Arabidopsis thaliana: one gene and its partner. The protein of the gene in region 2 purifies or fractionates together with the protein of the main gene of each other region. This does not show direct contact. Each region holds a gene or a part of one and is shown on either strand. Other genes may lie near its edges.

What was found.
Region 1: the proteins of P5CR (region 2) and MCM5 fractionate together in Arabidopsis thaliana (co-fractionation; one large-scale study listed by BioGRID). This does not show direct contact.

Annotation. Positions count from the first base shown.
Region 1 is NC_003071.7:3,515,787-3,532,403, forward strand, and holds MCM5 (Minichromosome maintenance (MCM2/3/5) family protein), read right to left. Parts: upstream 11,715-16,617; 5' UTR 11,603-11,714; coding exon 11,333-11,602; intron 11,265-11,332; coding exon 11,121-11,264; intron 11,044-11,120; coding exon 10,864-11,043; intron 10,785-10,863; coding exon 10,686-10,784; intron 10,615-10,685; coding exon 10,478-10,614; intron 10,379-10,477; coding exon 10,273-10,378; intron 9,979-10,272; coding exon 9,844-9,978; intron 9,757-9,843; coding exon 9,679-9,756; intron 9,473-9,678; coding exon 9,368-9,472; intron 9,277-9,367; coding exon 9,185-9,276; intron 9,100-9,184; coding exon 8,967-9,099; intron 8,864-8,966; coding exon 8,768-8,863; intron 8,619-8,767; coding exon 8,527-8,618; intron 8,437-8,526; coding exon 8,346-8,436; intron 8,264-8,345; coding exon 8,154-8,263; intron 8,070-8,153; coding exon 7,940-8,069; intron 7,861-7,939; coding exon 7,759-7,860; intron 7,677-7,758; coding exon 7,593-7,676; 3' UTR 7,198-7,592; downstream 1-7,197. Other genes in the region: ABCC13 (multidrug resistance-associated protein 11), read left to right, coding at 1-46, 122-373, 444-513, 588-648, 761-848, 1,139-1,257, 1,355-1,452, 1,701-1,767 and 20 more. UniProt on the Arabidopsis thaliana protein: Probable component of the MCM2-7 complex (MCM complex) that may function as a DNA helicase and which is essential to undergo a single round of replication initiation and elongation per cell cycle in eukaryotic cells.
Region 2 is NC_003076.8:4,781,653-4,796,168, reverse strand, and holds P5CR (pyrroline-5- carboxylate (P5C) reductase), read left to right. Parts: upstream 1-8,172; 5' UTR 8,173-8,550; coding exon 8,551-8,751; intron 8,752-8,832; coding exon 8,833-8,881; intron 8,882-8,974; coding exon 8,975-9,066; intron 9,067-9,191; coding exon 9,192-9,264; intron 9,265-9,379; coding exon 9,380-9,500; intron 9,501-9,578; coding exon 9,579-9,684; coding exon of another isoform or gene 9,685-9,688; intron 9,689-9,790; coding exon 9,791-9,979; 3' UTR 9,980-10,209; downstream 10,210-14,516. Other genes in the region: AT5G14820 (Pentatricopeptide repeat (PPR) superfamily protein), read left to right, coding at 2,301-4,097; AT5G14790 (ARM repeat superfamily protein), read right to left, coding at 10,661-10,999, 11,095-11,289, 11,378-11,510, 11,600-11,706, 11,845-12,111.

The DNA of each region.
Region 1 (16,617 bases), on a different chromosome or scaffold from region 2:
TTTGGAAGATCCACTTATTGAAGACGACGATGATCAAAAGCGCATTGTACGACGTCTCTTCCTTGTAACTAACTAGTTTAAAGAGTAGTTAAAGACCAATAGATTTGTTCATTCTTTGAAGGAGAAAAATGGAAGCTGGTGGGACTTATTCACTTTTGGGTACATTGGTTCAATAATGAAACATGGCTCGGTGAAGCAGCTAGAATTGGAAAATCTACTTACACTACCACCTGAAATGGATCCTTTTACATGTTGTGAGAATTTATTGAGATGTTGGCAACTTCAAGAGTGTAATAATTACTCAACTCCATCACTAATTTGGTCAATATATGGTGTATATGGATGGCCATATTTTCGTCTTGGACTGTTAAAGGTACGTTGCTTATTTGACTTTCTTATATAATCTTTGTTAATATTGCTACTACAAAACATGAATTTTGCAGGTGTTCAATGATTGCATTGGATTTGCTGGACCCTTACTTCTCAACAGACTTATCAAGTATCTTGAAAAAGGTTGAGAATCTTTTTAAAGATTTAGTAAATATGATTACTAATGGAATCATTGACACTGTTTATAAACTAAACAGGTTCAGGAAGTTCTGTTGGCTATACACTTGCTATCTCCTTGGGCTTCATATCTATCTTTAAGTAAATATAGTGCATAGTCATCATATTTCTACATTTTTTTGTCATCTCAAATGTGTTCCAAGTGTAGCAATAGTTACTAGGCACTTGTGATGTATGCTTTTTTGTCTTGTAGGTCTTTTCTTGATACACAATACACGTTTCGTCTTTCAAAGCTGAAACTCAAGCTACGGTCTAGTATAATGAGTGTCATCTACAGGAAGGTAAAACATGTGAAAAGTGAAAACTTTTATTGTGAGTGGTAGTAATTGGTTCCATAATTTCTTGAAAGTGAACTATTATCACAAGAATTTTGTATATATACAGTATGGTTTTGGAAATTTGTGCTTTGCTTCAGCGAGTATTCGGTTAAAGATATCGATATCTCCTTGCCGTTACTACAAACGGAGACGCACCTTTTGAGTATACGATATATAACTTCATACATAGTATCAAACGTTTTGGTTCTTTTGGTAAAGAGCTGTTTTTGTTTATGAAATTATATTGTATGCAGTGTTTGTGGGTGAACACAGCAAACCGGTCAGGATTTTCTGAAGGCGAGATTCAAACATTTATGTCGGTAGATGCTGACCGCATTGTTAACTTGTGCAACAGTTTGCATGACTTGTGGAGGTAAGAACATTTGCCTGTAAACAATGAAAGTGCTTCCAATATTGAGTAACAATAAATTGGCCACTCTTACAATTTTTCATTCAAATATATGTCTCAGCCTGCCTTTGCAAATTGGGATAGCTTTGTATCTTTTGTATACTCAAGTCAAGTTTGCTTTTCTTTCTGGACTTGCAATCACCATCTTGCTGATACCAGGTACCCAGTTTACATTATCGTAACTACAATATAGAATGCCCATTTTTTTCTTTTGAATATCTGGAAGTGTAAGCCCAAAGGCCATACATCTCCTAGAGGCGAGACCCACACCATTTTAGATTCATCTCCTTTGAAAAAGAAATCCCTCCCAACGTGCCTCGAACCTATCACCTCCACGGAGATTTAGTATTGGGCCAATAGCTCGTTGGTGATGCCAGTTTTTCTCATTTTCCCTTTTTTTTTGGCAGTGAATAAATGGATATCGGTGCTGATTGCATCTGCAACAGAGAAAATGATGAAGCTTAAAGATGAGAGGTGTGAGAAAACGTTTAGTAAGTGTTGATCATAAGAGGGATGTTAGTAGTAATTTCTCACATTGTAAAAAGTTTTGTTATCTATCAGGATTAGAAAAACAGGAGAGCTTTTAACAAACATACGCACACTTAAAATGTATGGATGGGATAACTGGTTTGCTGATTGGTTGAAGGAAACAAGAGCCACCGAAGTGACTCACTTAGCGGTTAGGTCTTCGTATCCTTCCTTTTGCTGTTTTGTCCAAGTACTTTGTATTAACGTTTAAGTCTTCGTTTGGCTTTTCTAGACTCGGAAGTATTTAGATGCTTGGTGTGTTTTCTTTTGGGCAACAACACCAACTCTTTTTTCTCTTTGCACTTTTGGTCTCTTTGCTCTGATGGGTCATCAACTTGATGCAGCAACGGTACTTTTTGAATCTGCTCTATAACATTTTCTGATTCAAATATGTAAAATTTTCTTGACAATCCTGTTTTTTTTTTTCCAGGTGTTTACTTGTCTTGCTTTGTTTAATAGCTTAATCTCTCCATTAAACTCGTTTCCATGGGTCATCAACGGTCTCATTGATGTAAGATTATCTTTCGATCATATTAAGAAGCATTTTTATCTACCATTTTAGTTATATATCATTTTTGTTACCTTGTTGCAGGCCTTTATATCCACCAGGCGTGTGAGCAAGTTCTTGTGTTGTTTGGAGCATAGTAGAGATTTTTCTATAGATTCTGGATTTACATCTGAAGACTTAGCTGTATGTGTGGAAGATGCATCTTGTACTTGGTCAAGTAACGTAGAAGAGGATTATAACTTGACAATAAAACAAGTAAGCCTAAGAGTGCCAAAGGGATCTTTTGTTGCAGTTATCGGGGAGGTATACGAATCGTCCCCACCGTTAGAGCTGCATAGTTCGATTAAATTATGATTAGGTGTTTCTTAAACTCTTTTTGTTTGCTTAATTTTCAGGTTGGTTCAGGTAAAACATCGTTGTTGAATTCACTTTTAGGCGAAATGCGGTGTGTTCATGGATCTATACTATTAAATGGCTCTGTGGCATATGTACCACAGGTTTGTAAACTGGTTAAATACTTTCTTTTTGGTTTCCACTATGAGAAGTCTTACATGTACCTCACTCACCTTCAAGGTCCCATGGCTTTTGTCTGGAACTGTACGTGAAAACATTTTATTCGGGAAGCCTTTTGACTCCAAAAGGTTTAGTAAGTTTGCTTCATCAACTCTTAAAGTTATGATCTAGTGTAACTGATAGACAAAGCTAGTGGTGACTTTGTTAAACTAGGTATTTCGAGACATTGAGTGCTTGTGCACTAGATGTGGATATTTCACTTATGGTCGGAGGAGACATGGCGTGTATAGGTGATAAAGGACTAAACTTATCCGGAGGACAGAGAGCTCGGTTTGCTTTGGCCAGGTTTGCTATATATCTCCTATGCTCTTTCACCATCCATAGACTTGAGTGTTGTGTTTCTGATGATTTTGTGTGTGCTTTATCAATAGGGCTGTTTATCATGGTTCAGACATGTACCTTCTTGATGATGTACTGAGTGCAGTGGATTCACAAGTAGGATGTTGGATATTGCAAAGAGCACTTCTGGGTCCTCTGTTGAACAAAAAGACTCGTGTTATGTGCACTCACAACATTCAGGTCTCAAATCTCTCTACACGTTAAATATTTATCTATCTCAATTTAATTTTTTCTCATACCGTCAAGCTGTTTCTACTATGACAGGCGATATCTTGTGCAGATATGATTGTTGTGATGGACAAAGGAAAAGTGAATTGGTCAGGAAGTGTTACTGATATGCCCAAATCCATTTCTCCAACATTTTCTTTAACCAATGAATTTGATATGTCATCACCAAATCACTTGACCAAAAGAAAAGAGACTCTATCTATCAAGGAAGATGGTGTAGATGAAATTAGTGAAGCTGCGGCGGATATCGTCAAATTAGAGGAACGAAAAGAGGGTCGAGTTGAAATGATGGTTTATAGGTAAACAAAATTTGCTTAACCATGTCTTTTTTTTGTTGCCTATATGTATAAGTAAGTGATTGTTATCTGTTTATGCAGGAACTATGCTGTGTTTTCTGGTTGGTTCATTACTATTGTAATATTGGTTTCAGCGGTTTTAATGCAAGGGTCTCGTAATGGAAATGATTTGTGGCTATCATATTGGGTTGACAAGACAGGAAAAGGAGTATCGCATTACTCAACCTCGTTTTATTTGGTATTAAACTCGCGCATAAAACCACGAAACGTAACTCTTATGTCTCTGTGTTTTTCTAGTTTAATAATAACTACTAATCTTGCAGATGGTTCTCTGTATCTTTTGCATCATTAACTCAATATTAACCTTGGTGAGGGCATTCTCATTTGCATTTGGAGGATTAAAAGCAGCAGTGCATGTTCATAATGCATTAATCAGTAAGCTTATAAATGCACCTACACAGTTCTTTGATCAGACACCAAGTGGAAGAATACTTAATAGGTTAGACACAAGGAAACTCTTTGAATCATGTGTCTTGTTCTTCATCTTAACTTCTTTTTTTGGTTTTACTCTGTTCAGGTTTTCCTCTGATCTATATACCATCGACGACTCTCTCCCGTTTATTCTCAACATTCTTCTAGCAAATTTTGTTGGCTTGTTAGGGATTATTGTAGTATTGTCTTATGTTCAGGTTTGTCTGAAACTCTTCTCTCTTTTTGCTAAGTATTAACTCTTCTGTTTTGTTGGAGAAGTTACATTAATGTATAATATGTATACAGGTTCTATTCCTGCTTCTGCTTCTGCCATTTTGGTACATATACAGCAAGCTTCAGGTACATATACAACTTCTTGTAGCCAATCTGATTTCATATTTGGTGTCCCTTAGAGAAGAAGAAGAGTTCAAATTTTCTACTAACTGAAAATTGCTTCAGGTCTTCTACAGGTCTACTTCAAGGGAACTACGAAGGTTGGACAGTGTTTCACGATCACCGATATATGCATCGTTCACGGAGACACTTGATGGGTCATCAACTATCAGGGCTTTTAAGTCTGAGGTAGTTTTGGTTCTGCTTCTAAATGTCAGGTTTTGCTTCTCCATTAATGACAAAACTGTATGCTAATTCCGGTTTGCATGACAGGAGCATTTTGTAGGTAGATTTATTGAGCATTTGACGCTATACCAGCGGACTTCTTACTCAGAGATAATCGCAAGCTTGTGGCTCTCCTTGCGTCTTCAGGTACACTAATACATCTTTGCTTACATTTTGTAGAACATTTTTCATTCACCTTTTGAGAATTGGTAACAATGTTTAGTTTCATGTGTCTGCAATAAATATGGAAATCTCGAAAAATCGCTGATAAGTTGAGTAAAATGGTGCAGTTGTTAGGATCAATGATTGTCTTATTTGTCGCTGTAATGGCTGTCCTCGGCTCCGGGGGGAACTTTCCAATCAGTTTTGGTACACCTGGACTGGTAAGAAACTGCAGTTTTCATAAATATATAGGAAAGTGAAAAGCATACTATTTATAATTTGGATCACAGGTGGGATTAGCGCTCTCATATGCAGCTCCATTGGTTTCTCTGTTAGGAAGCTTGTTAACAAGTTTTACTGAAACAGAAAAAGAAATGGTTTCTGTTGAAAGGGTTCTCCAGGTAATGATTCTGATTCTTTTTTTGGTTTGTCAACCGAAATTAATTGCAGCTCAAAAGAGCCATTCCTGAGGAATGTTGTTTACATATATGATATGATGTGGTTCGGTACAAATTCGTCGTGCCAAATTATCCACTTCTACATTCGCACTACGAGAAATCAAAGATAAAGATAATGATTCTGATTCATTAAGTAATTTTTGTATGTTAGTGTTACTAATTACATGAACCATGCTCTCCTGTGTTATTAGTACATGGATGTGCCTCAAGAAGAAGTTTCAGGTCCTCAATCTCTCAGCGATAAGTGGCCTGTTCACGGATTAGTTGAGTTTCACAATGTGACAATGAGATACATCTCAACTCTGCCTCCGGCCCTCACCCAAATTTCTTTTACAATCCAAGGAGGAATGCATGTACGTGTATCGCCGAGCACTCTACAACAGACTTGACTTTTTCTGTTTTTATCTTTTCTCCCAACATATACAATTTATATGAAGTTATCGGGAAGAGACTATCCGCTAGAGAGAGCACTCTACAACAGAATTGACTTTTTCTGTCTCATGATTGTTTTGTTTTCATTTATCAGGTAGGAGTAATTGGAAGAACTGGTGCCGGGAAGTCCTCGATCTTGAATGCGCTTTTCCGGCTTACTCCTGTTTGTAGTGGAGAGATATTGGTGGATGGAAAAAACATAAGCCATCTTCCGATAAGAGAACTCCGTTCTTGCCTCGCTGTTGTTCCTCAGAGCCCTTTTCTGTTTCAAGGATCACTGAGGTGAGAACTTAACTCCTTCAATTCACTAACCAAAGGTGTTGCCTGCAGTTTCATAATGAAAAAAAGTTGTGGTTCTCGTAGGGATAACCTTGATCCTCTTGGGTTGAGTGAGGATTGGAGAATCTGGGAGATCCTAGACAAGTGTAAAGTTAAGGCAGCGGTAGAAAGTGTAGGAGGGTTAGATTCATATGTAAAGGAATCTGGTTGTTCCTTTTCTGTTGGACAGAGACAGCTTTTGTGCCTTGCTCGTGCTTTGCTCAAGTCATCTAAGATCCTATGCCTTGATGAATGCACCGCCAACATCGATGTTCACACAGCTTCCCTACTCCACAACACGATATCGAGTGAATGCAAAGGCGTAACCGTCATTACCATTGCTCACCGCATTTCTACGGTTGTTGATTTAGACAGCATCCTAATTCTTGATCGTGGAATTCTTGTTGAACAAGGAAAACCACAACATCTTTTGCAAGATGACTCCTCAACTTTTTCAAGCTTTGTCAGAGCTTCTCAGTGAAATGTTGTTAGAATCTGATCACTTGTAACTTCTGATCTCTGCTATAATTATCTTGTCATGGAAATTAAGAAAAACTAGTTTCAACTGTAGTAGCTCATTTATATGCTCAGTTTTCCATAATAAATGAGTCTTCATGGACTTGCCTAATCCAAATTCATAAATATCTATCTAATTCGATGGTGATTGAGAACTGAGAAGTAAACAATGGTACTCTTATTGTCTGTTTTTCTTCCAAGAAGTTAGTTCAGAAGGAATTGATTCTTCATTGCAACTTAAAACAGCTTTAGCCATGAGTTTCCCAAGCTATGCATGATAGAGTAAAGTAATTGGCCAAAAATATGTTAAATAGAGAAGCAATTATCTCTCAACAACACAAGAACAAAATGAAATTGAGAGATTCCGGGAGCTTCAGAACCAGTTCAAAATTCAACAACATACTAGTTTTGTAACCCGAACCAGTTTAAAAGAAGAACATTTTGAGTCAAGTTCAACCATGGTTATTTATTTCATTTTTTTTTCAAGGTAACAACATTCTACTAATAACAACATTAAGAAAATTTTAATTTACATATACGTTCAGATTACACTTTTACTTTATCAACTATTCTATCTGCATCTTTACTTTAACTATCGGCACTAGATTATACCATTCAGCAATCTTCAAACGCTTTCCTAACATTGGCGTGACATTTTAACTAAGGACAACAAAGGTGGAGAATACATTAGTTTGAAGCAAGCGTAAAAGTTTACTAAGAATCTTCATCAAATACACATGACATAAGCTTCTCTTTCTACTTTTTGCCTACAAATTAACTTGATAATATTAAATATTTTGTTTTGTTTGGTCATCGCTGCTACTAAAGAAGAGAGATTGCATGCCTAGACGATCAAGCTTTGCGGACAATAGAACGTCTCTCTCGCTGGTACTCAACTTCACCTCTCTGGTGCATTATCAACAAAGCTCTCCTCACCTGCCATTTTAACATGCACATTACCTCAAAAATCCCATTCACATTACTGAAAATTAAACAACAAAGATGTTAGCTTAGGTACCATTGAATCGTTCATTCCCATTCTAGCCAGATCCTCTATCAGTCTTCTCTCTGATAATCGAGCTCCGATCCCCATTCTTCTCTTTATCTGTGTTTCCGCTTGCTGTTTTTTCACACCAATACCAAATTTAGTTATTACATCTAGAGATACGATGATTCTTTCTTCCCCACAAGCAACTAACCTTGATTTCATTGGCCATCTCGCCTGTTATGTTTATCTGTTGATTTATCCCTGATCTTGCTGCATCCATTGTCGAGGTATCAAAAAGTTTAAAAGCTTTGTCTACATCATCTGGTGTGGCCTCGTGTGACCTGACATATTTAACAATGTCAATGGACGGCACATCCCATCAGGTTTCAGGAATCAGGAATCTCTATGTTAATAAGATTACTTACAGTCTCATTTTTGCAAGTGACTCACTCAGTCTGACAATAGCTTCGAGTTGTCTCACTGTGATAGGTATCGGAGCAGCCTCTCCTGTTTCATGTGCACGTCTCTTCATATCCTGTTTAGCCGAAAATTTTATACTGACACCAACTTTGTTTTTTAACCATCTTATTGTCAAATCTAATGTAAATGACAATTACCATTCTGATTGTGACATATTTCCGCTGCAGGTTCTCAGCAGCGTCTTTTGAGAGACGGGGATGACACCTTGCTCGACAGTATTGTATATACCTAACATAAAAAGAGCATTATATTTTAGAGTCATGATTTTGTACAGAAAACTGCGAGAACACATTGTTTTCTCGACGAATGAAAACACACCTTTTGAGCCAATTATCTTCTTTAGAATCTGTGTTTTCATCCGAAAATTTGTTTGCAGATGCATGAACCCTTATAATATGGCTGGCTATTTCCTGTGAAAAGATTATAAACATTAATCATGTCTACATAATAAGCAAGCAACGAAGCAAACTTTCCAATAACAGTGACCTCCATCATTAATCTCTGTTTTCCCTTTTAACTACATAAAATTTCTGAAAGAATTGTTCCTTTCCTTGCTTACCTTGTCTTGGGAATACTTCCTGATGTCCTTGACAATGAAGATAAGATCAAATCTAGAAAGAATTGTTGTCTGCAGATCGATATTGTCCTGAGCAGTCTGCAAATCCAAAGAAAAAAAAACACACCCATCTCTTAAGAATATTGCAAACAAGAATCGGGAAAACCATGATATTGCCAAAGGAGAGTACCAGATTTCAAACCTTAAGGTCATCATATCGACCAGATGGCGGGTTAGCAGCAGCAAGCACCGAGGTTCTAGAATTAAGGACAGTTGTTATCCCAGCTTTTGCAATGGAGATTGTCTGCTGCTCCATTGCCTCATGAATAGCAACCCTATAAAGAAAAAAAAAACATTCCATCAATTCTACTCATAGAGAAAAATTAGATTCGTCAACACTATGATTCAGATTTGAATTACCTATCTTCCGGTCTCATCTTGTCAAATTCATCAATACACACAACACCTCCATCAGCCAAAACCATAGCACCACCTTCAAGATAGAACTCTCGCTGCAATGAACATATGTATAAATAACTGAGAATCTGTCATAGCAACTACTTTTAAACAAATCATAGAAAAACACTTGAAGATAGGACATACAGTGCTGCTATCTCGAATCACCGAAGCTGTGAGCCCAGCAGCCGATGAACCCTTTCCAGATGTATAAACAGCAATTGGAGCCGTCTTCTCCACAAACTTAAGAAACTAGAGAGAAAAAAAATAAGCAATTAAGCTTTAAACATGTAAGCTACAGGTGTTGGAAATAACACAGACATTTTGTAAGGATTGTAATCTAACACTTGAACAGAAGGATGTAAGACGAATATCAAGCAAATAAGAGAGACGTAAGAAAATATAAAAAGAATAACACACTTATTATAAACCATTGATACTGAGACCACATTACAAACCTGTGATTTTGCAGTTGATGGGTCTCCCAAAAGCAAAACATTAATATCACCTCTTAGTTTCACTCCATCGGGCAGGCTCTGAATCAAAGATAGAAATGTATATAAATATATCAAAAACGTATACAAAGTGCACAGAAAATAAAAACTGCTATCACAGTTTCCTACCTTCCTGGATCCTCCAAAGAGAAGACACGCAGCTGCTCTCTTCACATCCTCATGGCCAAATATAGAAGGAGCGATCTTGGTGCAAATGTTCTTGTATACATCTTGACTATCAGCAAACTTTTTGAATTCTTCCTCCTAAAAGTAATATTATGGAAGACAAAACTGATAAATGGAATTGTACAACTAGGCTTCCAAGCAGGCCTAAATGTTTCATAGTAAACTAGTAGCACAGAGAATATTTCCAGAAAACACCATCACATTCATTTGGGAGTTACACAAAGAATTTCATAGAGCCAACAGCTACCTAAGGCATTTGGTTTCCAGTAACAATAATTCAGCCATGTTAACTTCAATAGTTCATTGTGAAACCATGGATGACATAGGCTATCAAATGAGAAAACAAAAAGAACCAAATGATGCGATACTAACTTCGTCAGGAGTGAAGTTGGCAGGGCCACGGGAACTGGCCTCATTTGTGTCTTCCAGTCCAACAACTCGGATATAAGGCTGGCGAATTGCAACTGCTCCTTTATGCCTACATCAGAAAGTAGGAAAAGATGTCCATCATTGTTGTGGTGTAACTCTCCCAGAAAACAATCTACACTCTCATTTGACATAAAACTACAAAGCTTACGAGTTAGATGATGACGAAGCTTGGAAAATGCTGTAGATACCCATTACTGTCAGTCTGGTTCCAGGTACAATTGTTTGTACAAGATGCCGATCAACTGAGAGAAGCATATTTCTTGGAAGCTCTCCAGTAGGAACATCCTTCAAAACTCAGAAGCATTTAATATATACAAGTGCAAAAAAAGCGAAAACATTACAATGTAAATCTATACCTCCGGATTCTCCTGTAGCTTTAAGGTCTGTTGATCAACATACTGGCTCCTATCAGGAACCACCATCCAAGGATCAAGAGGGCAAGGCTCCTCTCCAGGCTAAACAAATTCCAATTTGGTCTAATCAACACCAAGGATAACTACAAACTCAAATCACAAACGAATCAAAAGAACTCACCTGTGGAATATTATCACATGATCGAGGAACAATTGCCCCACCAAGACCCGGACGACATGGAACTTCCCTTGTCTTTTTACAATTCTTACATACCAAAAACACATAAGTCGCCTTTGCTTTCACTCTCGAAGCTGCAATACTAATCCCAGAGATTTTCACCAACTTTGAGATGTACTGTGCCTATCAAGAGTAAAGAGTACATTATAGACATACCCCAAGTAATCTCATTGATACTAAAAACAAAAAAACAGACATACCCCAAGTAATCTCATTGATACTGGATCCTCTCTTGAAGTGAGCAAAATCTGCACATCTCTAGTCAGAGGTTCCTCCATTACCCCTCCCTCATTAGCCTCCCTCATTTTCAATCCAGTCAACACTTCACCAGCTGCTTTCTCAAACTACAATTCAAAGATTGACTCACTCAATACAAAGCTTATATGAACCCTAATTTTTTTTGAAGTCATACCACAGGGAGATAATCGGCAGGAGCAGATCGGATTAAGGAGGGGAGATCGGAATCAAAGGAGAGGAGATCTTCGAGGTGGACAACAAGTCGCTTAGGGTTATCGAGGAGAGCTTCTCTGTAGGGGAAACAATTCTGTTCGATCTCGAAGTTTCGAATGAATTCCTTAAATTTGGTTAAGACGGCGTGGGGACTGATGGTTGCGGCGTCTCCGGCCTCCGGGAACTGCGGCTGGTCGCTGTAGTAAACTGCTCCTTCGTCCCATCCTGACATCGTTGCTTCGTCTCCGTTACGAATTTCTCTATCTCTTTCTCTCTTATCAAAAAGTTCTAAACGAAGAGAGAGAGTGGGGGCAAGGGCTTTATGTCGACTATGAGTTTTGGCGGGAACAATGTGGCGGGAAACTGATGGGCCGAACCCAAGACCTATGGACGGGTAAATGGATTTCGTTGGTTATTGGGTCTTTCTTTCTTTTTCTTTTTAGCTAAGGTTACATTTTTTATCCATTTTTTCTAATTTATTATAAAAAACCAAACAGATAAAAATATAATTATGGACTACATCTAGGAATCTTAAATTTATGAATTGCACATTTTAGAATTTCATATTTTTAAGCTACTTAATATCGTTGTAAGCATTTTCAATTCCATCGTAATTTTCTTCAATGTCACTTAAAATTTAAGGCTATATTAATATATATGTTTAAAAGAATAGTTTTTAGTTTTATAACATTAATAATTTGAAAATTAAGTAACTATAAAAAAGAAAAGAAAAATCAACCATATATATCCTTCTCATTTACGTTAATTACAGAAATGTCATTAACATGATAAATGTTTTTGAGAATATTAGGTAATTGGACACTTTTTTGAAACTCAATTACGCAATAAAGCACTTTAGAAAGAGTAAACACTTTTTAAAGTTTTTTTACTACTACACCATCAACCCAACCTAAGCAATCCAAACTTACCATAATTTACAACCATTACTTTTTCTCTCTTTTCATTCATTTTTTTCTCTACTCTTTACAAAATTAAACACACAAAACACTTAAAATATCTTAATGAAAAAAGGAAATGGTTTGAGACATTATCTCTCTTCTCTCTCATCAAAAACACCAAAAAGTAGATCTAGATTTTTCTTTTTTCTTTCTCTTCTTAGATCTTAAAAGTTGGAAATTTTCAAGATTTTTATTCAGTTTCTCATTCTTTAATCAACCTCATAAGGTTAAAATTTTCATTTTTAATTGCTAGGTTTCTTCTTCTCTTAGTGTATCCATCATTGTCTTGGTCAAATTTTTGTCTTTTTACAAATCTTAGATTTGGCCACCAAATATTTGTGGAAATTCCTCAAAGAGAGAGAGAGAGTTGAATTAAAGAACCCAAACATATATTCTTACTATAAATTTGTAACTTAAAGGTAGTTTGATGCTATTTTCATTAAAACACATGAGCAAATAATGAAAAAATGGAAAAAATACAAAACAAATCAAAGAAGAGTGATAGGCGATAATTTGAAATGACCACATGGTCAGAGTTTGGTGGATGTGTGTTGACGGTCGATAATTCAAAATGATTGTGTTTTGTTAATACTATTCATAAAACCAGTGTTACGTTATGTAAAAGATGTTGATAAAATGTGATGAAACAAGTTTTGTTGGTCATATCAACAAAAGTTTATTTATGAAAATGTTTATATTTATTTATCCACGATTACATATTAACAAAACATAAATACGAGTGTATATCGTAAGATTGTGTATGAACACATCGATCTCAATAATATTTTACGTTTTCAGGTTAAGAAGCGTGCTTTAGATTATCATGGATCAAAAGTGGTGGTTATAGATTATGTACATATAAAACTTAGGTTTTAGGGTTTAGGCTTTAAAGTCAAGGGCTAGGGTTTAATGTCTAGGGTTTAAGATTTAGTATCTAGTGTTTACATTTTAGGATTTAGGCTTTATTGTTTAGGATTTCGCGTTTAGTTTAGATGATTTAGGGTTTTGGGTTGAAGAATCAAAGTTGTCTACAATGATTTAGGGTTTATGGTTACATGTTTCTCATTGGAGATTATATATTCCATTGTTGTCCATATGGATTGGATAATATGGATTTTCTATCTCAATTTGTTTATATTTAGGGGATTTATGTTTAATATTTATGGACAACAACAAGAAGTTTTAAAGTGAAGATCTTAGAATTTAGGGTTTAGGGTTTAGGGTATACGTGATATGGTATATGTATATTGTTAAGGGTTTAGTCTTTATGGTTTAACAGGTTTAGGGTTTAATATCAAGGGTTTAGAGTTTAGGGTTTAGGGTTTAGGGTTTAGGGGTTTAGGGTTTAGGATTTAGGATTTAGGATTTAGGATTTAAGATTTAGGGTTTAGGGTTTCGGGTATAAATTTAGGGGTTAGGGTTTAATGTTTAGAGTTTAGTATCTAGTGTTTAGGGTTTTAGATTTAGTGTTAAGGAACTATGATTGTTTACAATGATTATAGAGTTTATTGTAGATGGTATAAGGTTTAGGGTTAATTGACCATGGTCATATACAATTATTTTTGGGTTTAGGGTTATATGCTTCTTGTTAGATTATATATTTCCATTTTGATCATATGAATTAAATCATATGAATTTTTTATGTTCTCAATTGGTTTATGTTTAGGGGATTTATGCTTAATATTTATAAGCAATAATAAGAAGGTTTAAAATTTAGGGTTTATATGGTAAATGGTATATGATATATTTCTATGGTTAAGGGCTTAGTGTCTATGGTTTAAAGTTTAGGGTTTATGGTTTAGGTGTTTAAGGTTTAGAGTTTAGGGTTTAGCGTTTAGGGTTTAAAGTTTAGGGTTTAGGGTTTAGGGTTTAGGGATAAGAGGTTTAAGCTTAATATTTATGGGCAACATTAAGAAGGTTTGGGATTTAGGGTTTATGGTATATGGTATATGGTATAGGGTATACGTATATGGTTAAGGGCTTAGTGTTTATGGGTTAAAGTTTAGGGTTTAGGGTTTAGATATAGAAGTTAGGGTTTAATGTATAGAGTTTAATATCTAATGTTTAGGGTTTAGAATTTAGTGTTAAGGAACTATGATTGTTTATAATGATTTTAGAGTTTATGGTTATATGGTTCTCATTAAAGATTATATATTTCATTGTTGTCCAAATGGATTAAATCATATGGATTTTTTGTTTTCTGAATCTGTTTATGTTTTGATGATACAATAAATAATAGTATGAATAAATATAGTAATATGGATTTCATGAAGGAAAAAATGTTATTATTATATATTTTATAAAAAATGATTTTTAATCAAATAGAGAATGTCTTAAATTAAATAAAAATTAAATAACAAAAGGAAGAGAGAGAAGAAATTGACAAGAAAGATAAGAAAGTGATAGATAGAGAAAATATGTTTTATTTATTTAAATTTGACGGTCAAGATTAAAAGAGATTAACTTTACCTTTCAATTCGATGGACGAGATGATTCCGTCAAAACCATTTCTTAACCATGCTACTTGATTTAAGGTGAAGAGAATAAGGGGTAAACTGGTATTGATTTTTTTAAAATAGTGAAAAAACTCCAAAAAAGTGTCTATTCTCTTCAATGTGCCCTAAATGCACTAAAAACTTGGAAAATGCCCCAATCATGAAAGAAGCCCAATTTTTTCTGACGTAATATGTGGCGACACAGTTCATAAACCGCTCGATAACACTGCTCACATGCGACCGAAACACTATTCATCAGATGATATAGTAAAACATCATATGATTTAAGCATTTATCTATTTGTTTTATATGCTAAAAAATATGATATCGCGATAAGTTTACTTTTAAACAAATCTTTTATCGACCTAGAATTGAAAATTAATATATTTTTATTTATGTAAATATCAGTTCAATTTAAAGAATTAGTTTATTTCTTACATAATTAATATAATAGCAGTTAAAACAACATGTTATATAAAATAATAACATGCTAACATATTTAATATCTAGATAATATTTGTATGAACGTGCCATCTCAATCCACGTTTTCATTCACGCCACCTCTTTTTTTGTCAACTCACCAATACTGATTTTAATATCTTTGTTTCGATTTGATTTTATGTTTCCATTATTATTCTTATAGTTTTGTATCGTCAGAAATTAAATAAAAGAGAAACAAAAGAAAGAAAAAAAGAAAAGAGAGAAAAGGGGTAAAAGAGTCAAAAAGAGGATGATAAAAAGAGGATAAACAAAAAAGAGGATGATAGTGACATGTGCACAGTGATCAAGTGGTCAACCTAATTAATGAGTCGTTCATGTATATCTATTGATATTACCCTAAAATTTAAAGATGTGATTCAACTAAATAAAATAAGTTTATTACAAAAATATAAACTTTTTATTACCTTCTAAATTCACAAAACCACGTAGTCAATTTCAAGTATAAAGCAAGGTTTTGACAATTTTTAGAATAAGACAATTTTTTTTACAAAGATTTAACCACTTACATCCAATACTAAACGATGATTTTGTTACTATTGTGGTGATTAAAATGCTAAACACATAAAGACGCTCATAACCTCCATGTACGTTAAAGACATCAAATCTAAATATTTTTCCAAATTTGATGTTGTGTTGTCAAAACCAAGCTGGATGCTCCTCTTAACATCAAAGAGATCATGTATGATATAGACATACTAAATTAAACAAGTATGATTATTATACTATGAACTTGAAATGTGAATTGATTTAAGAATTTACACCCACAACCTCATATCTATCCCATAACTAGAATGGTAATGTACTAATCCCGATAATTTAGCAAACTTGAATTAAATCTTCCTAGCCATCTCTTCTACTCTCAAATCACTAATAAGGTTCAAATTACCCTAGAACTACTCTCTCATATAAGAGATCAATTGCAGTATTTAAGGATCGAATTCACAAAGTTCTTTTGTTCAAACAATAAGTTGAATGTCGAGATTAAGCTAGAAGGTGATGATTGAAATAGTAATAAAACAAAGTAAGATAACAGCAGGTTGATTGTGTTGTAAAAAATTAGGAAAAGAGGTAGGAACAGAGTATTCTCAAGAAACTATTGGTTAGTAGATCTAATGAAAGCTAGGTTGTTATCGAACCATTCTTAAACTCAAACCCTAATTATGGAATAACCGGTGGCTTTAGTACCCCGCGCATTGACCCCAGGCAAGAAAGAAGGGCAAGAGAAGAAGAAGAGAGAATGGTGCGTGAAATGAAAGGAAGGGCCGAGTATTTATAATCCGCGGAAGCTAGAG
Region 2 (14,516 bases):
TTTATTCCAGAATAAATTAGAGTTAAACAAGGTCGCCAGCTATCACAAGGGCGTTTATTCGAACGTTAGATCGCCCTGTCAGAAACTGCGATTATCCAGAAGAAGGCGATCTTGCATGGGCCACACTAGTTGCAGACCAGCTTTCTCCCAATCCTCCGAACGAATGTCCAATGCCCTAATCGTTTGTTCGACCTCATCCAGACGAGTGACGACCCTTCTTCTTTTCTTCTTCAGCTTAGCAATCAGAGTTTCGAGCTCCTCGAGACAAAAGTCCACTCTTCGTTTCTTGGTTCGAAAGTACTGCAGCTCGCGGCATTGATCCTGATGCAGAAATCCGACCTGAGAAATCCAAGCAACGAAATACTTAAAAAACATCCCGATATCGAAAACACAAACCAAAGCAATCCTTGGTTGACGAAGTTCTGACACTCCGTGGTATCAGCATCAGTAGCAGCCGGCCCAAGGTAGAATAGAGAAGGCGTCCTGGGAATGAAGTCCCCATCAGCAATGAAAATCCGGACTAGGCCTGTATCGATCTGCAACAAAAGAAAAAGCTATGAGAATCTAGTTGGGATCGACATATCTTTACCCTATCTATTTAAAAGAAATCTACCAGGAAACTCCGTCCACATCCTTTTCCTCCCCGGGAAGAAAGTTATGCTTTGGGCGGTTGTTCACCAGCCAATAGCCGGGCGACCTTATAGCTTTCAACGTCGTCATTTCTTCGAAACAACGGACGTTTACCAGGTAACCTTCTTCAGCACCGAAGGTCAGAGCGGCAACAAAACTACAGATCGCCGCCGGAGTAAGCTGGGAGAACGCCATACGACGACGATTCAGAAAGGAGATGATCAGAGACGGAATGGGAAACCAGAGGTGACATTGTCTGAAGTAGGCTTCATACATGCAGACGTACCCTCGAGGGGGATTCCACGGACGCTCATTTTCTCCGGGAATCATGTAAGTGAGCGGGCGATCTCCGGAGCCACACAAGGCAAATACTTCCGCGACTGACTCAGTTGTTGAAAGGGTCTTTTTCGCGGCGATCTCGGTGTTCCAGCTAACCACTGAGTCGACGTCAAATTCGACATGATCCTCATGAAGTAATTCGCATTAACTTCGGCCTCTGTATACTGTGGCTGCGTGTTATAAGCATCCTCCAGGTCGATGAGCGGGTCGAACTGAGCCAAGAAATCCGCCGGATCTTCAGGAGCAGCGAGATGTCCACCGGAACCTTCCCGATCGGGCTCATCAAGCAACGTCGGGATCTCGATCCGGTTAGATCGACTAGACTGAGCTTCGTCACTTGGATTCCCGGTTAACCGAGAGTTTCGGCGAACTAATGACGCTTCGCTCTCGGAGGAAGAAGAGGACGGAGAGACAAGAACAACCTTACCCATTGCCGGAAAAATCGATAAAGAATCGAGAGTACAAAATAATTCGCAGAGGAGAGAGCGAGAGCTACCTTTGATTCTTCTTGCAAGCGGCGGAAAATGATTTCCCGAGGATAACGTGAATAAAATCGAGAATTCGATTGAACTAAGTCATGAGCTCGCCAGAAGATTTAGGTCGACAATCGAGATCGCCATAAGCGGAACCTGAGGTCGTGTGAAGGGAAAACTTCCATTTAAAAGAGGGTAATCTCATGAAGAATGGAAGTAATGGGCCACACTAGTTGCAGACCAGCTTTCTCCCAATCCTCCGAACGAATGTCCAATGCCCTAATCGTTTGTTCGACCTCATCCAGACGAGTGTGTTACAGGGAAACCTGCGATTCACAAGAACAATCCAAATCTCCAATTATCATTCGAAACCAAACAATCAATCGATGTTCATAAAACACCAAATGATTCAGCTAGCTCTCGATGTGAGAGAAATCTAGCACTTACAAAGGTTCTAGAGAATTCTGAAGATTACAGATTATTCGATGATGAAAGCATGAGCATAACATGTTGCTCTTATACAAAAAGGTAAAGAAAGTAAACGTTAACCACGTTAATAACGATCGCCGTTAACGTCCATTTGCATTGCCAGCTCCCCAGCTCGCCAGCTCACAAGTACTTTGCCTAACATCCGACTTCATATTGCCAGCTCGCCAGCTCGTTTATATGCGTTTGAGCTTTAATGCTCCTGGTGGACCCAATGGTTATATGTGACCAGATCAATGGGCCTTTAATGGGTCAAAATTATTATCACTCAAAGCTTCTAATCAAACAAAGGCCCAAATACGTGAAGAGCTCTCCGCCGTAAATCAGTGGCTTTTCACCGACTTCGCCATTGCTAATCGCCGTCGAGCTTCCATGGCTGCTGCTCCATGGCTCTATCTCTCTAGGAGAAGAAGCTCCACTCAGACTTCATTAAGAAGATTCCTCATTTGCTCTTCTTCATTCGATGCCGATGAATTCATTTCCAGTCAAAGCCGCGTAATCGGCGGGAGAGGAGAAGAGGAAGTACGATTTTCCGGTGCTCTCTTCTCTCGTATGATTCATTCTTCTACTTATCATCCTTACCGTCAAATTCCATTGCCACACTCTGTACAACTGCTTGATGCGAGTCTTGGGTGTAGAGGTTTCTCTAGTGGTAGTTCTAATGTTAGTGATGGATGTGATGAAGAAGTTGAATCTGAATGCGATAATGATGAAGAAACTGGGGTCAGTTGTGTTGAATCAAGTACTAATCCGGAAGAAGTAGAGAGAGTCTGCAAAGTGATTGATGAATTGTTTGCGTTAGATAGAAATATGGAAGCTGTTCTTGATGAAATGAAACTAGATTTATCACATGATCTCATCGTTGAGGTTTTAGAACGTTTTCGACATGCTAGGAAGCCTGCATTTAGGTTCTTCTGTTGGGCTGCAGAGAGACAAGGATTTGCTCATGACTCAAGAACATATAACTCCATGATGAGTATTTTAGCAAAGACTAGACAGTTCGAGACGATGGTTTCGGTACTCGAAGAGATGGGTACGAAAGGTCTATTGACGATGGAGACATTCACTATCGCGATGAAAGCTTTCGCTGCTGCGAAAGAGAGGAAGAAAGCTGTTGGTATCTTTGAGTTGATGAAGAAGTACAAGTTTAAGATTGGTGTTGAAACCATTAATTGCTTGCTTGATAGTCTTGGCAGGGCTAAGCTTGGAAAAGAAGCTCAGGTTCTGTTTGATAAGCTGAAGGAGAGGTTTACACCTAATATGATGACTTACACTGTTCTACTCAATGGTTGGTGCAGGGTGAGGAACTTGATAGAAGCAGCTAGAATCTGGAATGATATGATTGATCACGGATTGAAACCTGACATTGTAGCTCACAACGTAATGCTTGAAGGGTTGTTGAGGAGTATGAAAAAATCAGATGCGATCAAATTGTTCCATGTTATGAAATCCAAGGGACCTTGCCCTAATGTCCGTAGCTATACCATCATGATCCGGGACTTCTGCAAACAGTCGAGCATGGAAACTGCCATTGAGTACTTTGATGACATGGTTGATTCCGGGTTGCAACCTGATGCTGCGGTTTACACGTGTCTGATCACGGGGTTTGGGACTCAGAAGAAGCTGGATACTGTTTACGAACTGCTCAAGGAGATGCAAGAAAAGGGACACCCTCCGGATGGCAAAACGTATAATGCGTTGATCAAACTGATGGCGAACCAGAAAATGCCGGAACATGGCACAAGGATCTACAACAAGATGATCCAGAACGAAATTGAGCCATCGATACACACGTTCAACATGATAATGAAATCTTACTTCGTGGCGAGAAACTATGAGATGGGGAGAGCAGTTTGGGACGAGATGATCAAGAAAGGGATTTGTCCTGACGATAACTCCTACACGGTTTTGATCAGAGGGCTTATAAGTGAAGGGAAGTCGAGAGAGGCATGCAGATACTTGGAGGAGATGCTTGACAAAGGAATGAAAACCCCTTTGATTGATTATAACAAGTTTGCAGCTGATTTCCACAGAGGGGGACAACCGGAGATATTTGAGGAATTGGCACAGAGAGCTAAGTTCTCAGGTAAGTTTGCTGCAGCAGAGATCTTTGCGAGATGGGCTCAGATGACTAGAAGGAGATGCAAACAGAGATTCATGGAAGATTGATAACTTGGGGGCGGGTAACTGGATCATTCAACTCACTCACTCGGAGAAAGCTTATCTGCAAATGGTTGGTTTTCGAGCCACAACTCTTACTTGAATCAAGAATATGACTTCACTAGCACAGCTTGGACTGAACTGATCACATTGGAATCTGTCAGATAGCTTTTTTGTAATTTGCTTCTATAACAAGAAAATATTAATTAACAATTGTGCACTCTAATGAAAAAAATTAATCATTCTTTCACTGAGAAAGTGAAGAAATGCAAGTAGGCCGAGATAATAGCTTAAAACAGAGCTTAAACCGTCTGCAAATCATTTGAATACAAAACAAAGTTTAACAAAAGGAAGATGAAACGTAGATGTTTTCATTACACAACAGACCCACACACACCATTTTATATGAGAGGGTCATATTTTTTTGAATTCTTAAATTCCAAGATACTCAATGAAGAATCACAACCTTTAGCGATAATGGGATCGAGGTCGCCTGAAAGTTCTCTGTATCAAAGGTATCAGAGCTCTGTAGTTCCTCGGAAAACATGGTGACTACAAGGTCGCAGGAGGGTGACGGAAAGGGGAAAGAGGTGGAGTTGGAGGTTCCGCTACAAAGTCAAGCTATACCTTTGATCTCACAACACGTGCTTTGCTTAACATCCCTGACTTCATATTTCCAGCTCGCCAGCTTGACCCCTGAACGCTATAGCTTGACTTCAGTTTTCCTATAACAAATCTCCCCTCTTCAGAGAACCTTGACCTCAAGGTTCATGGAAACATCTTTGCCAGTTTATAGAGTAACTCCATGTAGCCTCTTCCACATAAATCAACATGAATCATAGCTTTCCTTTTACCAAGTCCTAAACCTTGAATCGCCAAGCTTGTGACAACTTCATCATCCTCTGTTGTCTAATTCGTAGTTACTCTTTCTACGGATTTGTCAGTAAATCTGTAGCCCTTGCATCTGTCTTGTATTTAAACCACCAATCTTTGCCTAATTTCCTCACTCCCAAAGTTGAAACACAACTTTTGCTACCAAACAAGTGCATATATGTGAGCATCTTCATTGTCAAACTCTGAAACAGACCCTGAAGAAGGAGAATGCTGAAGCTCATCTTTATGCACTGAATCATAGGAGAACCAGTGTGAATTTGACCCTGAAGTGACACAATCTCCCGACCCGTTTCATGTCTGCTTGGATCTCCCATTCTTCGATCATAGAGAAGTGACAAAAAGCTAGATGTTGTAGATTTCATGACTAAGACCATCCAAGACCAGTGATCACCACTCATTTCAACATGCACCATGGTCTTGCTCTTCCAACAATGCCAAACCGCAAAATGATAAGTCATACGCAAATTGAAAGAATTCAGTCTCGTGAAACCCTCTTCCCCAAATTTATACTTGAACCACCACCGTTTGGTAAACTTGATCTTTTTGTTTCTCATCACTTCTTGAATGACTAAACTGGTTTGCAACAGCAGCCTCTTTACCATTGTAATCCGATCATACACAAATTGTTCTCCATGACCTGCATCACTCTCTGTTATCCCAAGTATCATGCTAAGCAAACATCTCACATCAACAATCCTGGCCACAATGAACATCTCTTGATGTTCTCTCTTATCAGACATTAGCTGAAAGTGTGTTGTATATCCATGTTCTCTCATCATTTGTAAATTTCTATTCACGAACTTAAATTTCCAGGACTTGAATCTGATATGTAACCCTATTGGAAGTGATTCATGATCCCCTTGGTCTTGTGAGCTGGTTTTAAATTTGAACTTCCAGGATTTGAGAGACTTACTAGGCTTCTTCTGGACATGGACGGTAGCACTTCCACAACTAGAGTGTAATTCATCAACAACAAATCCAATTGATGACAGCATTTGATTCATTGTTGCATCAACTTTATCAAAATCCTTAAGGTTTGAACGAACCTTCTGAAGTTGTGAGACACCTTCTATGTCTATGGAGTGAAACGCGGCTTGATCTTGAATCAACGGCTTATGTTCAATCCATGAATCTGTTTCACACTCTTCTATGTTGAATCCAAATACGTCCCCAGCATCCGAATTTTGATCATCATCACTAGACACAGCATCATCAATTTCAACCAAATATTTCTTCACCGTCGCAACCGCATTCTCTACCAAGTCTGAACCACTAAGGAATCGATCTCCATCATTACCTATCATGCAATTACCATCATTAATCATAGAAGTTCCTGCAGCATTACTTGAAACATGTTGAGCTTCTTTCTGATAATCATCACTCTCTTTTCTGATAAGCACACTCTTTGGGTGAGCCATCTCATATAATCTTCCCAACATTAAACATTGTTGAATTGTCTGAGGTCCAAACATCCTAACATTCAGTTGAGTATCAGTTCTCAAACCTGCCAAGTAAACACTAACCAAGTAATCTTCAGCGAAGTTCAATCTAGTGCTAATCAACTCAAATCGAGCATGATACTCCTCTATTCCTTCAGTCTCCTGCAACTGTGTCAGTTTTGCAATCGAGTCATTAACATGCTCATCATATCTCACTTGCAACAACAGTTTGTAACTCCACCAATCATGCCTAACATGCTTCCACCACATCGATTGTACAATTGATTGGTGCAAAGTCGCAGCAGTGTCATCGAAATGGAGTGAAGCGAAACCAACTTTCAATTCCTCCGGAGTACGATCAATTAAGAAAAATTGTTCAATCTGGAACAACCATTCTGTAATTCTATCACCATTAAATCTGAGATGCTCAAGTCTCGCAAAATCAGATCTCTCTTCCAATGGAAAATATTTGTTCGACATACCGACTCTCTCTTTGCTGGTGTCAGGAGTGACGATCGGAGCTGTAGATATCAGCTGTGAGGATCTTCCAATGTTGTAAGCTCTCGTATCCAACATTGATTCTCCGATGCACGGTGAGGATTGAACACCAAATTGCTGATTCGTCGTCGCCGCTTTGCCGGAACGCACATCAGATTTGTGACCACAAACCACTTTCAATGACGGATACATAGTTTCGTGAATAGCTGAAACCTCCCGATAAAACATCTGCGAACGAGTTTCTGCCATTGATTCCGAGGAAACGCTTGGCTCTGATACCAGTGTTAACGTAAACCAGAAATGAATAGACAGAGTTTGAAATCAATAGAACAGAGAGATGAAAACAAAGTACTCCGATTAACACACTTGATACAACGTTCGTAAAGAGACGCGATATCAACTTCTCACCTACAAGAGACTCGACGAGAGCTCCGGTAAAACGATGAGGGAAATCTAGAAGTCTCTAGAGAGAGATTACAACCAGATTATTCGATAATGAAAGCATGAGCATAACATGTTGCTCTTATACAAAAAGGTAAAGAAAGTAAACGTTAACCACGTTAATAACGATCGCCGTTAACGTCCATTTGCATTGCCAGCTCGCCAGCTCACAACACACGTGCTTTGCTTAACATCCCTGACTTCACATTGCCAGCTCGCCAGCTCACAACACGTGCTTTGCTTAACATCCCTGACTTCACATTGCCAGCTCGCCAGCTCACAACACGTGCTTTGCTTAACATCACCAGAGTTCAAAGCAAAAGGAACGCCTCCTTCAAACGAAACGATAACTCCAATAATGATCATTGGCACGCAAAACGCATCGGACGAGTTCGGAACGCTAGCTCGTTGTTCATCACGATTAACGACCCTCGTCTCTTCCCTCTCCCCCTCAAAGAACCACTTTCGAATGACTCGAACATCCCAACTCGAACACCAGACGACCACTTTGATCCAGGAGGCTCTTCAGAAATGCGACGGTCACGCAACAGCCGAGGCGACCCTTTTAACCTTCCTTGTCGTCTCGCTTGACTATCACCGAGACAGCACATTGCCGTAATAGCAGCCTATACTTTGATAGCCACGCGACGTTTCGATCCTCGAACCTTGAGAATCATGAAAGACAAACCAAACATTGCGTCTTCCCCATGCGCGACTTTTCACTTCCTTCGATTGAGTTTCGTGCACCTGAAATCCTGATCCACGTCATCAACGATGCATCAGGATTGGGGGGCAACTGTTAGGGGTCGGATTGGGCCTACTTGGCCCAATGCCCAAACCCAAGTCAAAAGCCCAAAATAAGTTCCAAACCAAGGAGTATTAAGGCGAAGGGTAGTTTCGTCAAATCCCTCGATGAATGCCCTACACGCGCAGAAGGCTATAAATACGGAATAGCATGTCTTGTCAAAGGGGGAGGCCGCGAGGACACTTAGAGACAAAGAGCAGCTCGTCAGCTCACCCGTCTGAAGTATCTCGCCAGCCGGCCCGTCTCAAGCAGCTCGTCAGATCACCCGTCTGAAGCATCTCGTCAGCCGGTCCGTCTCAAGTAGCTCATCAGCTCGCCCGTCTCAAGCAGCTCGTCAGCTCACCCGTCCGAAGTATCTCGCCAGCCGGCCCGTTAAATTTTCCCGATGGAGATTCTTCCGATTCCGGCGGAGAGTTTCAAGGTAGGATTCATCGGAGCTGGTAAAATGGCGGAGAGTATAGCTAGAGGTGTGGTTGCTTCCGGTGTGCTTCCTCCTAATCGTATATGCACCGCCGTTCACTCAAATCTCAATCGCCGTGATGTCTTCGAATCCTTTGGCGTCAATGTCTTCTCCACTAGCGAAGAAGTAAGTTCTTTTTCAATGTCTTGTTGTTGTTGTTGTGGTGATGAACTAAATTGAGATTGACGATCTTCAAAAAAATGACAGGTTGTTAAAGAAAGCGATGTTGTCATATTCTCTGTGAAACCTCAAGTTGGTATATATATTTCTTACCTATCCATTGATTATATGATTGATTCATCAATGTAATTTTGTGTTGACTTAAAGTTGTACCTTTCATATGATGTAGTTAAGAAGGCTGTCACAGAATTAAAGTCGAAGCTTTCAAAGAATAAGATTCTGGTTTCTGTTGCAGCTGGAATCAAGTTGAATGATTTACAGGTTTTGCATCATTTATACTCCTATACATTTGCCATTTAAGTTGTCACTATCCATGGTGTTGCATTGTGAGTTTCTAGAGCTCAATTTGGTTAAAAAACATAAAGGTCTCTCCTTTTTGTTTTTAGGAATGGTCTGGTCAAGATCGATTCATAAGGGTGATGCCTAATACACCTGCCGCTGTTGGTGAGGCAGCTTCAGGTATAGTTTATCAGAGTGTTCGCATTTGTGATATTTCTGAATTTTGTTTGTGATTTCTGTTTCTCTCTGAAGCTGTCAAATGCTTACATTTGCCAATTATGTTGTGTGTATATAGTTATGAGCCTTGGCACAGGAGCAACGGAAGAGGATGGAGCAATTGTTGCTATGTTGTTTGGCGCGGTGGGGAAGATATTGAAAGCTGATGAGAAAATGTTTGATGCTGTCACTGGTCTCAGGTACAGGAAAACACTGTAGCTGCTGAAATGCTTGAGTTGTTCAAGTCACTAATCAAGAAAATTTCAAACTTTTTACAGTGGAAGTGGACCAGCATACATATTTTTAGCAATTGAAGCTTTAGCCGATGGAGGAGTAGCTGCTGGTTTACCCCGAGAGCTTGCATTGAGTTTAGCTTCACAGACCGTCAGTGAACATCTACATCGCTTCTTTAATCTGCTTTATTATGGTATTGAATACCGAAACTAGAAAGAGAACCCTAAGCTTTGAGGTTTTTTGTTTCCTATTACAGGTTCTTGGAGCTGCAACGATGGTTAGCAAAACTGGGAAGCATCCAGGTGTGTTGAAAGATGATGTTACCTCACCTGGCGGCACTACAATAGCCGGAGTTCATGAACTAGAGAAAGGCTCTTTCCGGGCAACACTTATGAATGCAGTTGTTGCTGCAGCTAAACGAAGCCGCGAGCTCTCACAGAGCTAAATGATACATATGTAGTTGCTGCTATTGTTTCACCTCACAGATTAATCAAAATAAGGGTTATGGGCCTTATGGCATTGCTTGTTTTTAGGCGAGAGTTTTATCCCACTTGTCTTCGATGGTAGAGGTGAAGATTATTTATCTAGACTATGATGTATTAGTTCAGACAGAACTCAGATACTTTTCTATAATTCTTAATCTAATAAAAATCACTTTCAGTTTTGGGTTCAATATCTGACCAATAAGCCAAGCCTCGGACGTGATTCTGATTCTAAAAAAAATCGACTAAATTAAAGAATCTTTTACTATGAGTCAAAGCTTAATCTAGAGAAACTTCAACGAGGAAGAAGCATAGACTGGCTATCTATTTAATGATCACTGAATCTTCAAAGAATCCGACCAATTTTGCATATAACCAAAAGACTCATGACTATCTTACCAAATCTTGGTATAGAATATATACACATAAGAAAAAGAAACAAGTACTGGTAGTGAAGACAGATGAGAATCCACAAAAAGAAAATAACCCAGAAAGAAGCCAAGATTTTTCATACACGAACGTTCACTCTTTTTATCGGTCCATAATTTGCCAATTTGGTAGATCATGCCGCCATGCCGGAGAATACCATGTAAACCGTATGACTCGTAGCAAACGGTTTTTAAAAAATTTGTAGTAGAAAATGTTTATAACTGGGATGAAGATGATGAACCTGTAGTAACCAAACCCTCCCGAGCAGTAACAGTGACAACATTGGTGACACGAAGCACGGCTTGTGCGCTAAGAGCCGACAGTTTTGACTTGCAGAAAGTTTCCCAAGTAATTGGCTCTACCTCCGGGATTTGCTGTTCTTCTGGTGATGATGTCTCAGGGTTGATGAGAGGATGAGCTTTTTCATATACGCTCTGAAGTTCTAGTAGGACAGTCCGTGCAGCCTCACGGGATTCAGGGAGCTGATCGCTAAGCTGAGATGCGGCTGCTTGAACTAATTTGTCGATTCCATATTCTTTAATCCCTTCAACGCCCTGGAATATGTATTATAACGCAAGGTATTGTTGAAATTTTTACATGACATGCGATGCCTTTGTGAGAGATATATATGAAGTTGAACTTGTATTACCAGTCGAGGAACACTTCGAGAAAAGCATAATGATGCTTTGGCACGGATCCGAGGATTCCTGTTTTTGAGACAAGGTTGCAGCTTTGGTAACAGCAAGGTTGGGGAAACATATTTGGTCATTGCTGTTAAAGCTTTCTCTGCTGCCTCGCAAACAAACCGTTTGTCTTGGGAAGACTTGAGGAGTAGTTGAGTAAGCTGAAAGCATAAAGTGTATGAAAAGCTGTAAGAACAAGTAAAGTTCGCAGTAAACAGTGAAAGAATATAGCAAAGATAGAAAAGTTACCAGAGGCTCCAACAGATCTGTTATATGATTATTATATGCACTGAAGATATCTGCAGATGTCATGCATGCCGTTTTACACACCGCACTTCTTGGATTTTTCAGTGATTTCACGACAAGTGGTATCACTTTTTCACTGTTAATGGGATATGGTGAGACTTGCATTTTCCAATCTACTTTAAGAGACAATTATTTAGAAACATCAGCATAGAGAACAAAGCTTACAGCATATGCATCATTTCTTCCTTGTGGAATATCGAAAGTCGGCGAACGTTATTAAGAGCATCACAGAGTGAAATCCAGTCCTTGGACTCTAGTCCAGCTAAAACAGACTGAAACAATAAGACCAAACAGATTCTTAATGGCGTAAACAATGTAGTTCCAAATCTCTAAAATAGACAGATACAACAAATTCATCACAGTTATGATACTAATGGGAATTGATGTAATCACAAGACAGAAGCACATACCTTCAGAACTGCATCAGCATCGTCTACATTATCCAAGTTTTCAGATTCAATATATTCAACTTCCACAATAGCTATCTCTGGCTCGGGTTTCTCTGCTTCTACAACTTTAGAATCACTGGAATCCAAGGAGGCAGAGTTTGGTAATGGTCTATCTTCAGATTTTCCATTCATTTTACCAACACATGGCTTGGTCAAGCTAGCTTTACAGTCACTTATCTTCTCAGTTACATGAAGACTATTCATCTCTTTCAAAGTATTACTGGCCATACGTGAACTTACCTGCATAAAAACAGGAGAAAAAAAAATCATCATCAAAACTAAATACAGACCGTGGTAGAGAATACCATGGATATAATAATTAACCAGTGCAAGGTCAAGCACACTGCAGGAAGAAATCTAACTTATAACAATGTAGACCAGAATCATAACCAACTCTACATATCTAACACGTTCTCGAATTTACTTCCATAAAAGCTCAAAGGATACTGAGTTTTCGTGAAACTGTTACAGTAAGACTAAAATGAGAAACTTAAATCCGTTTCAAGCTCATCGGTCATCACATAGCAATAGATCTTTAGAAATTGCAAACAGATCTTTAAGTTCCACAAAGCTTGAATCAGCTAAGAAACTCCACCCACAAACAGAAATATAAAGAAGGCTGATTCAAGCTTTGTAGATTCATGTGTATACAATTACAAACCAAAACTCAAATAATAAGACACTTTAGCCTTAAGATCAGCTCTTTAGTCTCTTCGTACACTCAAATATTTTCTCAATTTCGGGATAAACACACAAGAATCTCAAAAACAAGAACAATAGTAAAATGCCATCAATAGGGAAGTAAAACTCTACTTGTCAACTTCACAGACTGTTGAATAAGATCAAAACGGGACCAATTCAACAGCACAAAACGAGACATAGCATAGATCTACATTTCCAATTCGAATTTCAAGCGATTTAACAATAACAACAAAAACACGATCTCACTCAAGAACTCTGAGAAGATCTCAATTAATTTCCAAAACAAAATCCTCGCGATTCCATTTCCGATTCATATACTTTCCACCGGCTGACTAATTCTCAAATTATAGAGATCAAATGATTATCGAAACCAGTTCAAACTTGCAAATGCGTATTCAAAAATGGAGCTAGAGAAATTTACCGGCGAATCAAAGCGGTGGCAAAAACACAGCCTCCGGAGTTGAGAAAAACTGACGGCGGAGTAGCGAAAATCTATGGACTCACAGAAATCGCCGGCCTTAAGAGTCTATATAAGGAAATGAAATTTTGAAATGCGAGAGAATCGAAAGAGAAATTTTAAGAGAGAGAGAGTCTTTTATTTTGTACAAGACGAGAAATTATAAAAACAGGCGATGCGATTTGATGCACTTTCACGAGTCGTATTCATATGGTGTGGTTTCCAAACGACGTCGTATTTCGTATGGTGTGATTTTGAAACGGCGTCGTATAATATATGTGGGACCCATACGCACAGGATTTTATTTGTCGGTTTCTAGTTACCATATGCGATACTGTGCCTCGCGGTTGAAATTAATGTTTTTTAAAAAAAATATTTCTTTCTCTCTTGTTCACATTATTCCCAAAAATATCCTCTTGACTAAATATATTATTTCCAAAACTATAACTTTTTGTTACTATATATTTCATTTTTAGCGATTATTATGTTTATTTGACATAAAGTCCTATGATTTGATTTTTGATTATGACCCCCCAGCGCCAAAAACATCCTCATCAACTGTTGTTGTAATTTAGTATCATGTTTTTTGGAAATGAATTTTCTTCAGAGATCTACATTTGTTTCTTGAGATCTTTTACAAATATTTTTTGGAAATGTTGATAAGATTGACTTTAAATGTCTACAATTTATGGATACACAGAAATGCATGGTAGGTCTAAGAGCTTTAAATCCATATCGTACTTCAGCATAAAAGAATGGTTGAATTCAAATTTGGTCAGATCCGTATAATAGTAATTAACTTGAATCATTTGTAAGATCGAGTTTTGATTTGTGACAATTAATGATTAATTTTAAGATTAACTTTAAGGTTTATAACAATGTATTAAAAAGAAAAATAATCCTACTATATTATTTGGGAAATACAATTTAAATGTAACCTTACTTTTTGTAAATAATTACATAAGTATGCCATTAGAAATAAAATTTTAAAGAGTAAATTAATTTATCTGTTTAAGGATTAAAAAGTCAAATACTAATTTAATTAATTAAATTTAATTAAAAAACGAAATACATTTTTAATTTCCAAAAACAATAACCAATCAACATATAAGATTTGATATCTAAATTTTAATTAATTTATTTAATTAGAAAAACGAAATACATTATTAATTTCCAAAAAAGTAAACAATTAAAATTAACAAATTAGATTTGATATCTAAATTATTATATTAATTTTTTATTAATTATTATAGTTCACTTCTCATCTTTATATGATTCTATTTTTGCGAAAAAATAATATCATCATTATAAAAAAAATTAGAGTTTTTTCGCATATGCCATAATTTGAATTTTTAAAAACGAATATAAACTGTTCAATACATGAAAAAATATTATAACGGGTGAAAATAGATTTAAGAAAACTTTCTACTGAGTAACAGGTCACAATTTGAAATATTTATATTCAATTTCATAC